Linked DNA regions of Canis lupus familiaris. Each later gene encodes a partner of the first gene's protein in a complex. Links are inferred from orthologs where the notes say so. Each region holds a gene or a part of one and is shown in the gene's direction. Other genes may lie near its edges.

Region 1 (3,641 bases):
TATCCCTCCACATGGGAGGAAACATCAAGTGGGGAAGAGGTATCTCCCCTAACAACATGTCAAGAGTGTAAATGTTGATGATATGTTTTTGAAATACGTTTTTGAGATTTGTACAAATGGGCTAAGCAGGCCCTGTGCCATTAGGCTATTTGAGGACTTGGTTCTGAGTCATTGACTCTCCCTTTAGTGGTTTTCTCGTATCTCTTTAGTTATCTGGAAGTCCCTTCTTTCCTTTGTTTTTTCCTAATCTATTGTGTGCTTTTTAGACTGGGTTTAAGAAATATGTGTCCACTTAGAAAAATATTTCAGGATTTGAGTTAGGGATTTTTGTGGTGATGTTAGCTCTCTTTGAGAAGATTGTGTTTGAAGAAAACCGCATGGGGTCTTTGCCAGGGTGTGCGGCTTTGGCCAGCGAATGAGGGGTGTTTCCCCCGCTCTCTCTCCAGCACAAGTACACATCGATTGCAGAGGTCCAGGCGCAGATGGAGGAGGAGTACCTTCGCTCTCCTCTCTCAGGGGTGAGTCTGAGGCCTTCTCCAGTCGCCACCCACTCCCCTGCTGTTCCCAGGCACTGGGCTGGGCCCAGACCACAGAGCTGCCCCAGGCCCTGCCCTCGAAGCTCCCAGTCTCTCTCCCATTGCAGGGGTGGCGGGTTATTAGTATGAGGGTCAAGAGCACAGACTCTGAGCCCATCACCTGCCTCTGACTCCCAGCTCCCTGACTTGGTAGGTGGTCACTTAGGCAAGTTACTGGATCTCGCCGTGCTTTAGTTTCCTCACCTGTGGAATGGGAATAATAATAGCCTTCTTCACAGAGTTGTAGTAAGGATTAACTGAGTTATTACAGGTAAAGTGCCTCACAGGTCGTATTATTCAATGTTTGCTGTCGTTATCAACATCTTTATTTATATCACTACTTACAGATTCTCCTCTAGCCGCCTAGCAGGCTGGCTCAGGAGACCCATCAGGACTGGGGTTTTGTATTTGTGCCTAATTGTGTTAAAAGGGAGAAGAGGAAGTTGAGCAAGTACCTGCAGAAACCCTCTACCAAGGCTTGCTTCCCAGCCTGCCTCAGTACATGGTGAGTGCCCCTGCTCCTGGGGCCTTGCCACCTCTTCAGGAGTCCTCTGGGTCTGGGACCCCTTTAGTGGCCATGCGTAGGTACTGCCGCGGGATCGCCCTCCCCACTACACTGGCCTTGAGAGCACGCTCTGCCAGTGTCCTTTAGCCCCTCCCACCGCCCATTTGAGCTCCTCTGGAAGGACCACCTCTAAGGGCTTAGGGCTGCTTCTGCTTCTCTGGCAGATCGCACTGCTGAAGATCTTGCTGGCTGCAGCCCCCACCTCAAAGGCCAAAACAGACTCAATCAACATCTTAGCCGATGTCCTGCCTGAGGAAATGCCGTGAGTAGCTGGGTAGCATACCGGTGAATGGAGCAGGGCAGAGGCTGCAGGGTAGAGGGGAAAGGCAAGGTTTTCCTCTCAGGTCCCACTCTTTGTTAGGTTGATTTCTCTCTTTGACTCACTTTCTCTGTGGGTTAAGTTTAGGGTATTCCTGGCTCAGAAGAAAGAAACTGTATTGGATTAAATACTTAATTTTACTGGTTGGGGAAGTGGCTTTGTGTGGTAGGCCCGGATTCTGGTGTAGACTCTGCCATTGAGTGAACTGGGGAAAAGTCATTTCCTCCTCTGTAAAATGAATCAGGCTGTGTTTGACATTTCCCAAACCCTCCCTCGAAAGCTGTGTGATCATCCAGGACTACTGTACATTTTACCGGCCAACAGCTGAACTTGAGCTGGGTGTGGATTCTTTTCTATTTGCTGTTGATTTGGCATGCAGGATATTTGTGGATATCTCAGGGTGATAGTGAAATCCTTAGGGGTTCTTTTTCCCTGGGGCACTGACCTCATCGCTTTGATGTGAGAGTTCAAACCGAGATCATTTTCTGCTTTGAGAAGGACCTGGGCCTTGATCTGACTTTCTGCTTGCCTGCCTGCCAGTACCACCCAGCTCTGAACCCAGCTCCCCGGGGGCTGGAGCCCCTTGAGTCTGGCCATGATAGCCAGGTGAGGGAGGAGGCAGGGATTGGTTAATACCAAAGGGAGCGTCCTAGAACACCAGGCCATCATGATGGTCCTTGGAAGAAGGGTTCCAGAGTCAAATACTAAATTTCACAGAGATTTACAGTGCAAGGCCCTGAATTAAGAAACAGTTTAACTTAGTGCTTCTTCAGTATATCTGACTCCAAAGCCCTTTTTTCTCCCCAGTATGAAAAGCCTCAATGTACTAGTATTCCACAGGATACACTGGGAGGGACCCAAGTTCATACAGTAGCAAAAGCTTAGGAAGAACTTGGAAAGGAGTTCATTTTGCGAGGAAATCAGAGAAATAGGCTAAGAATGTGTTTGGGGCCTCACAAGAATTGTGCTGAGCTGGATTGCTTGTGAGGCAGGTAGGAGGAGCCCAGGGCCTGATATCTGAGATGCCCACGAGGGGTGGGTGGTGAGGTGGGGGCCTTTGCCCAGGGAAGGCTCAAGAATGCCATCTCTCCCACGAGCATCTAGAAGGGCTGTGCTGTACCTGCTGGTGGCTCACCCTGGGAATTGTGTTTCCAGCACCACAGTGTTGCAGAGCATGAAGCTGGGGGTGGACGTGAACCGCCACAAAGAGGTCATTGTTAAGGCCATTTCTGCTGTCCTGCTGTTGCTACTCAAGCATTTTAAGTTGAACCACGTCTACCAGGTACCTGCAGGGCCTTCCTTCCTGTTCCCTGGGCCAGGGCCTCAGGCAGCACTACTCCTCCAATCCTGAAAAATTCAGGCCTTGACCTTCAAACCTCTTTGAACTCTGCATGAATGTTTTAAGACACAGTCTTCCAACCAAGGCCTTTTATCATTGGAGGAAAGAGGGCGAGGTCCTAAAGGGCATACTTACTTTTTTCTGTTGGTTTCAGTTTGAATACATGGCCCAGCACCTGGTGTTTGCCAACTGCATCCCTCTGATCCTAAAGTTCTTCAATCAAAACATCATGTCCTACATCACCGCCAAGAACAGGTGATACGGGAGAGGGAGCAGGGAGGGGTGGGTGTGGCCAGGTGGCAGGGCTCCTGGCCGGCCTCCTCTGCTGAGCCCACTCAGCCCCTGCAAGCCAGCACTCTCCCGGGCCTCAGCACAGGGACCGCAGGGACCGACCCCTGCTGTGGAGAGTGCCACTGTGTCAAGTCTGAGTCTAGCCACTCCAGTGACAGGTGGCACAGTCCGCCTGGGTGGGAGGGTTCTCAACCTGGGTTCCAGTACTGTCCTCAACTGTTTGGTGTTTCTTTGAGGAGACTGGCTGGGCCTCCTGCTCTCTGAGGAGCTCTGCCACGTGCACCGTGAGCCCTTGTCTGCCCCCTCCCCCACCTGCTGCCGGCTGTAGCTGATGGCGCAGCACAGGGTGAGGGCGGTTGGCCAGGTGCTGTCTCCAGTAGGGGCTTGGCATGCATTAACTGCCTTGAGAAATCTTCCCCATTTCTGCAGATTTGCTGCTGTAGGAGAGGAGGGCCTCTGGACCTTACAAGATGGCTACCTGGTCTTTGGCCATGAGAGACCCTATAAGTTCTCTGGTAGCAGGGATTTTTTTTTTTTTTTTTTTAAGATTTT
Region 2 (4,387 bases), on another chromosome or scaffold:
TAAAAAACAATTAAAAAAAAAGATTTATTCATTTACGAGAGAGAGAGAGAGAGAGAGAGAGAGAGAGAGAGAGAGAATGGGGGTAGGAGAGGAGGGAGAGAATCCCCGACCATGAGATCATTACTGGAGCTGAAACCAAGAGTCAGATGCTTAATGGGTGGAGCCACCCAGGTGCCCCAGGCATAGTGGGATTAAAAAAAAATTATTCACTTAAAACTTAGAGAAAAAAAGATGTATTTATTTGAGGGAGAGGGAGGGAGGGAGAGCGTGAGCTCTGCACAGGCGTTGCGGGAGGGGCAGAGTCTCCAGCAGGCTCCCTGCTGAGCGCGGCTCCATCCCGCTGACACCAAGGCCTGAGCTGGGGCCAACAGTCGGTCGCTCAACCCACGGAGGCCCCAGGTGCCCCAGCATAGAGTTTTTGTTTTTTATTCTTATTTTTTAAAGAGTTTATTTATTCGTGAGAGAGAGAGGGGGAGAGGCAGGCCCCGTGCAGGGAGCCCGACGTGGGGCTCGATCCGGTCTCCGGGTCACACCGGGGCTGAAGGCGGCGCTGAACGCTGGGCCCCCCGGGCTGCATGGTTTTGAAGGCTCGTGTTGTAACGCGTGTCAGAACTCAGTTCCTTTTCTGTTTCATCGCATTTCGCGTAACTTACAACACGCAAACGATTACCCGCGTCAGCAGTTCTGAGGACTGAGCGCCCGGCGTCCAGGGCCCTCGCCTCGCGGAGAAGCCGCGGCGCCGATCGCTGACCCCCAGGCCCGGTGCCCGCCCCCGCCCCGGTCCCGGCTCCCTGCAAAGCCGACCCCGCGGGGCTTCCCCACCTGCGCCGTGGCGTCGCCCGCCCTGTCCGCTGGTCTCCCCCAGCCCGTCCCCAGGCCGTCCCGCGGCTCCAGGCCACAGGGTCCCTCCTTCCCCAGGCTGGTGCTCCCCGGCCTGCGCGCAGCACCGCTCGCTCCTCGCTCCTCCATCAGCCGCCGCGGAGATGCCCGGGCCGCGCGGCCGGGCAGGGCCTGGGAACAGGCGGCACCTCCCAAGGCGGCGGAGGGGACGGAAGGGAGGAGGGGGGTCGGGTGGGGGTCGCGGGGCGGGGGGAGGGGAGGGGCCGCGGGAGGACGCTCGGCCGGGGGCCGCCCCAACCCCGGGCTGCACGCCCCGCCCCGGCCCCGCCCCGGCCCCGCCCGCCCCCGGCCCCGCCCCGCCCCGCGGCCTGCTGGGAGACGTGGTCCGCGGCCGCTCAGGAAGCCCGACTCCGAGTCCCGGCGAGCCCCGCGACACCGCCCTGCCGCGAGGCTTACCGGGACTTGTAGTCCAGCGCCCGCGGGCACCGGGACGCGCGGCGAGCGGCGGAACTCGGTGTCCCAGAGACCCCCGCGCTGGGCCACGACGTCGCGCGCCCTCTCGCCGTCGCCGCCGCTGGGCTTTCTCCGGCCGCCGCCGTCACTGCCGCTGCTCCGGGGCTGGAGGGCCCGGGCGTCCCCGGGCGCGAGGAGGCTGCGGGTGGGAGCCTTCGCGGGCGCTGAGGAGCGGGCCGGGGGAGGCCGGGATGGAGCCCCCCGGAGGTGGGCGCGCTGCCGGGTGGGCCCGCGCCTGGGGCGGTTGGGCGGGGGCCGGGCGGTGGTCGGCGGCGGGGCGGGCGGCGGGGGCCGGGGGCGAGCGGGGGGCGCCGGGGCCGGGGCGGGGCTCGCGGGGGGCGGGGCCGGGGTCGGGGCGGGGGGCGGGGCCTGCCGGGGGCTCGCGGGGGGCGGCGGGGTCGGGGCGGGGTCGGGGCCGGGGTCGGGTCGGGGCGGGGCGTGGGCGTGGGCGTGAGCGCGCGGTCCTTGCAGCGGCCTAGGCGGGCGGCCGGGCTCCGGAGCGGCGGGCGGGGTCTCGGGCCGCCGGAGGCCGCGGACGGTCGGAGGGCGTCGCGGACATGGCTCACCTGCGGGGATTCGCCAACCAGGTAGGAGGCCGGGCCGGGCCGGGCGGGGCGGGCGGGGCGGGCGGGGCCGGGCGCGCCCCGGAGGACGGCGGCTCGCGGGGCCGGGCGAGGCGGGTCCTGCCTGTGCCCGAGCCGCCCCCCGGCCTGGAGCCGCGCCTCCACCTGCTCCCGGTGCCGGTGCCGCGAGCTGCGACGCCCCGGGAAGGACACCCGCCGCCCGCGCCGCCGGCCCCGAGCAGACGCGCCCGTTTGGAAAAGAATCATCGGGTTGAAGGAGACGAGCTCGCTTCCGTGGCGGCCGCTCCCCGCCTGGGCCGCGGCGACCCGCTGCCCTGCCCCGTGACCAGAAGCGCGGCCGGCCCTGCCCGCAGCCCGGGGCCGCCCGGAACCAAGCACCGCGTCTTGCCGAAGCGGACAAGCTCTCCTAGCCCGAGAGGAAAGAGGGCCGCTGGCGGAGGCGCTCCCGGGCCCCAGAAGCAGCCGTCGGGGCGAGGGGTCTCTGTGCCCGGGCTGACCGCGGTGGGCGGCCGGGCCACCCCTGCTGCGGGGCGCAGGGCTGGGGGCGCGGGGCAGGGCCCCAAGGGGGAAGCCGTCGTCCTTTAGAGGCCAGCACACGTGGCCTTTGTCCGGGGCGGGAAGCCTGATTTTCTCAAGACACTTGTGCTGTGACCCCGTGGGGCGCCCCTGCCTAGCCCGAGGGTCCCCGCCAGCTGGTTCCCGCCCTGCCTGCTGCCTGGTGGTGGGAGTGGCCTCGCTCCCTTCATCTTGTGGGGCCACAGACCTGGCCTGCTGCAGGGCTGGGGGACAAGGGTCTCAAGTCTCAGGTCACTCAAGCCTTGAGGGATCGTCCAGACCGTGTGCTGTGCGTGGCCTAGAAAAGCAGCCGAGACGCAGGAGCTACGCACCTTCAGCCAGGGGGCTGGAGCGGGTGGTCCCTGTGATGTGCTTGTGCTATCGGGCCTCGGGGCGAGGGTTGGGGTCGAGGCCTGGAGCTGCGGCTCAGGGCTCCGCGTGTGCTCCCCCGGGCCAGGGGGGTCCAAGCGCCCCGTGTGGGGTCTCCCTGGTTGGGCTGTCGTGGTGAACCGACCCAGCTCTGGGCCCTCCTGGACAGTGACATAGTGTCCTCAGCAGGGCTGACGGGAGCAGAGGCACGGGACGCGTCGCCCACGGAGGCCTGAGGGTGCAGAGGGGACCCCAAGGCACAGCGGTGCTGACTGGTGCTGCCAGGTTTTCTTAGGACAGAGAACACAGCGCCACGGCACCAGCTGGACCACAATCCCTGGGCAGCCCCCACGCCCACGCCTGGGGCGCTGAACACATGGGCCCAGGTGGCCAGGTCCCCTGTGACGTCCAGGACTGAGCAGGGGATCGCGAGCTTCCCCCCAGAGGCGGAGGGCGCTCTCCCGGCAGACGGCCTTTTCCTGCTGCCCAGGAGTTGCTGGCAGACCCCAGCCAGGCCTCTGAGGTCGGGGTGGGTGCTAATCGTGGGATCCACGTCCCCGTCCGCACACTGCAGACAGCCAAGCAGCTGTGACTCACGGCCACGTGCCTAAGTGGCCTTGGGTTTCTCCAGAGCGTGTGCAGCAGGAACAGGTGCGTGGTGGGTGGTCCCCACGCCCGCTCCGGGCTGGTCTCGGCTCTGCTGAGGACAGAAGACAGCGCCTCACCGGCCCGGCGGGAGGCCCGCACGTCCATCGGCCCTGCCCCGAAGGCTGTGCTGCAGCACAGCCCACGGCCCGTGACCCGGAGTCCCAGCCGGGAGTCCCCGCCCCCGGCTCCCGCAGGTGCCCGGCGCGGGCGGCCCTCAGTCCTCTGCCTGGAGCTCAGCCGCAGTGGGGAAGGGGCCGTGCGTGCCGCGTGGGCCTGCGCACCGTGGGCGAGGCCGCTGGAGTCCCCGAGCTCTGGCTGGCGGGGAGCCGAGGGGGCTCGTGTGCGTGGAGGACCCTCCTCGGCGCTGTGGGCACCCAGCAACCCCGGGCGGGCCTTCCCTCACAGGGCCCACGGCAGTCGGGGCCGATGGGGCTCGGGGAGCTGGATTTGATTCCTTTTCACGCGTGGCTGCTTTAGACGCCCTCCTGTGACAGGCGCGTGGGCTGTGGGAGCAGGGCCTTCTGGCGGAGGCGCCTCCTGCGGGATGGGAGTCGCGGAGCCTCAGGAAGGCCCTTCTGCCCCCGTCTGGGCAGGACGCCAGGCCCCAGCCTCGGCTCCCACACTCGGCCCCGGGCCTCGGCCCTGCGGGGCTGGGGGCTCCCGGGGACCCCGTGGGTTGCCTCAGGGCCAGTAGTGGCCTGCGCCCTGGAGCCCGGGGCATCAGCGCCCCTCTCGGAGACCCCGTGGAGCTCTGTTCCCCGTGTCCCGGTGCCCAGGCCGCAGGGTGCTCGCTGGGCCTCAGTTTCCATCTGAGGCCCGAGTGCGGTAGTCTCCCGAGATCCAGGGTTAAGCACCCGGAAAGCCTTGGTTTGCAGCTC
Region 3 (3,641 bases), on another chromosome or scaffold:
CCTTTGTTCTGTCATCTGAAACTACTTCTAAGATGATCATTTAACTTTAATCATTCTTTTCTTATTAGTTAGAACCTGGCCCTTTAGATGAAACTCAGATTGCTACTATATTAAGAGAAATACTGAAAGGACTTGATTATTTGCATTCAGAGAAGAAAATTCACAGAGATATCAAAGGTAAGAAAAGATCTTTTATTCCTTTGAAATCCTAAGGCGGGTGGGATTATGTTGTAGAGTTAAATATGTACCGGTCTCCTCGTTGGAGGTTGTTCTGTGTGTATTTGAGGGGTGCCTTTGACATGCCTGGGGCAGGGGTGGCTTTGAGGAGGATCTCCCCAAAACCGTACCTTTAGTGCCTGCTCTTGTTGAGCACAGGATGTCCTTGGCGAGAGAACGTGTGCATTCCTGACGTGGTAACGGACAGAGCAGCACAGCACATAATATCAGGAGGCATCTTGGGTTTTATTTTGCAGCTGCCAATGTTCTGCTCTCTGAACACGGAGAGGTGAAGCTGGCTGATTTTGGGGTGGCGGGCCAACTGACAGATACCCAGATAAAAAGGAATACCTTCGTGGGCACCCCCTTCTGGATGGCACCCGAAGTCATTAAACAGTCTGCCTATGACTCAAAGGTAAGGGCCGCCTCTTCACATTCGCTGGCTCTAGAGAGTCATCCTCGTCTGTGCTTTAGCCTCGCAGCTTTTCCAGGTGGAGTGAAGCAAGTTCCTTGAAGTAGGACATAAAGGTAGTTCCCTCAGACCTTGATTAAAAACAGGTTTTATCTCTCTCTCTCTCCTACATTTCATGTCCTTTATTTTTATTTTTATTTTTTTTAAATTTTTATTTATTTATGATAGAGAGAGAGAGAGAGAGGCAGAGACACAGGCAGAGGGAGAAGCAGGCTCCATGCACCGGGAGCCCGACGTGGGACTCGATCCCGGGTCTCCAGGATCGCGCCCTGGGCCAAAGGCAGGCGCTAAACCGCTGCGCCACCCAGGGATCCCTTTTATTTTTATTTTTAAAAGATTTTATTTATTCATTTGAGATCGAGAGCATGAGCTGAGAAGCAGACTCCCCACTGAGCATGGAATCCGTGTGGGGCTCCATCCCAGGACCCCGGGATCATGACCTGAACCAAAGGCAGACCCTTAACCGACTGAGCCACCCCACACCCCTCATGTCCTTTATTTATTCAGCCCACAGTTACAAAGTTTTTCGGTTAAACACTGTGGCTTAATGGTGGTGGGGAACACTTGAGAAGGAGCACGTTGGAAGGTGGGGTGTGGAGGAACTCTGAGCCATATTTAAGGCACAGGCAGAGAAAGAGGTCCTACAAAAGAAATGGAGACCTCACAAAAATATAAGACCAGAAACTGCATTGCTACATATTCTTTCTTGTTATTTTTAACTCTCAGTTAGGATTGTTATTCCTAATGTAAGGCAAACCATAATTCCTTTTATCTACCTTTTTATCTGTTATCAGTTGTAACCCCTCAGTTTTTCCTGGGTTCTATTTTCCCTGGTGCCTTCAACTAACTTTCTTTTCTCTTTTCTTCTTTCCTTTTCTTCTTCTTTTTTTTCTTTTTTCTTTTTTTCCTTTTCTTCTTTTTTCCTTTTTTCTTCTTTCCTTTTCTTTTTTCCATCTTTCCTGATTGATTGATTGATTTAAAGAGAATGTGAGAGGGGAGTGGGGTGAGGAAAGGGAGAGAGAATCCTCAAGCTGACTTCCAGCTGAGCACAGAGCCTGATGTAGGGCTCCATCTCACGACCCTGAGATCCTGACCTGAGCTAAAACCAAGTGTCAGACACTTAACTGAGTGAACCACCCAGGCGTCCTCTTCAACTTTCTTAAACTTCTTATAGACTAAAAAACTTAGGGATCTTGCCTTGAGAATCTCTGATTTAACCCCCCTCTCCTCCCAGCTGCTCATTCTCAGATTGTACACAAAGTAATTTTCACATGGTTCACAGAGAATTGTCTCTTCTGACCCAACAGTTTCTAGGTGAACAAATATTTAACTCACATACATTTGTGGGCTGGTCATTGTTTCCTCTTTTTAAATGAGGATCTTCTCAATATACAGTAGACTTCCCACCTTGTTCAGCACAGCCCACAGAACACACAGTAACCTTTCCTCCAGCCTTCAGGGCACCATCATGAGCCAGCTGTTTGAAGGGCCTATGTAGTACCAGAGTTGCAGGTGGACCTGGTGTTAGTATGGTAGAGACGGGCTTGGCTCTCTTACTTTTGGGTTGTAGTCGTGGCCGTCACTGCCATAGACATCCCGGTGGCCTTGGTAGCCAAGGCCACTGTTGAGTTTTCAGCCCCCAGGGTGACATAGCGGTGTCTTTGTGCCTAGTGCTTGTTAGCATTTCGCCCTGTGGGAGGGATCACCTCCAGAGTAGTCTCTGCAGCCACTACTGCTGCTGGGGTCATAATCATTTTAGGACTTGACAGGAACATCTGTGTTCAGTTCTTTCTCTTTATTCTAGGCTGAGGCCCATTTATCAAAGTTCATAGAACTGGATTTTGATGGGCACTAGAATCCAAATTGTTCAACTCCTCTGATTACCCTACACTTATTACTTTCTTCCCTTCCTGGTACATGAGCTGATCAATCACAGTGCTTGTGAATCAGGATTCAGATCTTCTATTTTCAGGATTAAGCACCCATCACTGCTCACTTGATGGGTTATAAGGACTCCTCTGAAGTGTCCTCCTTGCCCAGACCTTCCCCTTCCTGTCTCTCTCCTTCAGGCCACTCTGGATGTGTGTTCAAGATTTGGCCCCTAGCTCTTGTCAAGAACAGAACACTCAAACCCTATCTGTAGGTGTTGCAGTATTCTTCTTAGGTAGATTTAAAGAGTCTCCAGCTTGAGGGGTACACACTTGGTTGGGAGCTTGAAAAGGTATGCCACTCTTTTCACTAGTGTTTGTACCTCTTACTCTGGCCTGTGTCAGAAGCTAAATCTTTTATTTGGGTCATGCCCAACACCTCTTCACTGAAAATCATATGCAAATATCATGTTTATGTCAAGTTTGCTTCCCAGATTTGTTGATCCCCAGGAGGCATGGGAAGTACAGATAAGGCTGATGTCAGTGTTTTGAGTCTGGGGCCTTGAGGATAATGTGACATTCCTTCTCTCCCATTAGGTGTGGCTCTGGGCTAGTAGCTTTTGTCATGATCAGTACCTGACAAAGGAACTTTTTTCTGCATTTGCTTTGTAGATAGCCTTCTAGTGACTGCCCCCATTCTCAGAGGCTTGTCTGACAGGGTAGTTGATGCTCATTTTGGTTACTCTGGTCTCAGGATATACAAACTTATTTGGCTTCTTTCCAATTGCCCCTTCCACTCTTTTCCTAAGGTGTCCATCCAGATGTTTTCCCCAGTGGTCTTTGCATTCCACTAAGGAGCTCACAGCCCCAGGGTGGCAGGATTGTGTTAGCATTGTTAGGACCCCATGCTCCCATCATATTTTGTTTTAGTACACTCACTGATTTTTCAAAGGACGGTCAGGTTGGGGTAAAGCTAGAATGCACCTGCCTCACTGGTTTCTTCATCTTACTGAACCTAAAGGGAGTGTAAACCTTAGTTTTATGTACATCTAGAACCTTGTTTAACATAATGGCCTCTTGAGCCA

The links.
Region 2: STRIP1 (region 1) and STK25 share a complex: the UniProt entries of both Homo sapiens proteins name them as parts of the core of STRIPAK complex. The link is inferred for Canis lupus familiaris from reciprocal best matches to the Homo sapiens genes STRIP1 and STK25.
Region 3: STRIP1 (region 1) and STK24 share a complex: the UniProt entries of both Homo sapiens proteins name them as parts of the core of STRIPAK complex. The link is inferred for Canis lupus familiaris from reciprocal best matches to the Homo sapiens genes STRIP1 and STK24.

The regions. Positions count from the first base shown.
Region 1 is NC_049227.1:42,374,570-42,378,210, reverse strand, and holds part of STRIP1 (striatin-interacting protein 1), read left to right. Parts: intron 1-446; coding exon 447-518; intron 519-1,005; coding exon 1,006-1,080; intron 1,081-1,304; coding exon 1,305-1,402; intron 1,403-2,614; coding exon 2,615-2,741; intron 2,742-2,952; coding exon 2,953-3,053; intron 3,054-3,641. UniProt on the Homo sapiens protein: Plays a role in the regulation of cell morphology and cytoskeletal organization. Required in the cortical actin filament dynamics and cell shape. Part of the striatin-interacting phosphatase and kinase (STRIPAK) complexes.
Region 2 is NC_049246.1:51,489,556-51,493,942, reverse strand, and holds the start of STK25 (serine/threonine-protein kinase 25), read left to right. Parts: upstream 1-1,588; intron 1,589-1,824; 5' UTR 1,825-1,838; coding exon of another isoform or gene 1,839-1,910; coding exon 1,911-1,940; intron 1,941-4,387. Other genes in the region: EZH inhibitory protein-like, read right to left, coding at 1,297-1,588, 1,839-1,912. UniProt on the Homo sapiens protein: Oxidant stress-activated serine/threonine kinase that may play a role in the response to environmental stress.
Region 3 is NC_049243.1:48,761,877-48,765,517, reverse strand, and holds part of STK24 (serine/threonine-protein kinase 24), read left to right. Parts: intron 1-68; coding exon 69-177; intron 178-473; coding exon 474-631; intron 632-3,641. UniProt on the Homo sapiens protein: Serine/threonine-protein kinase that acts on both serine and threonine residues and promotes apoptosis in response to stress stimuli and caspase activation.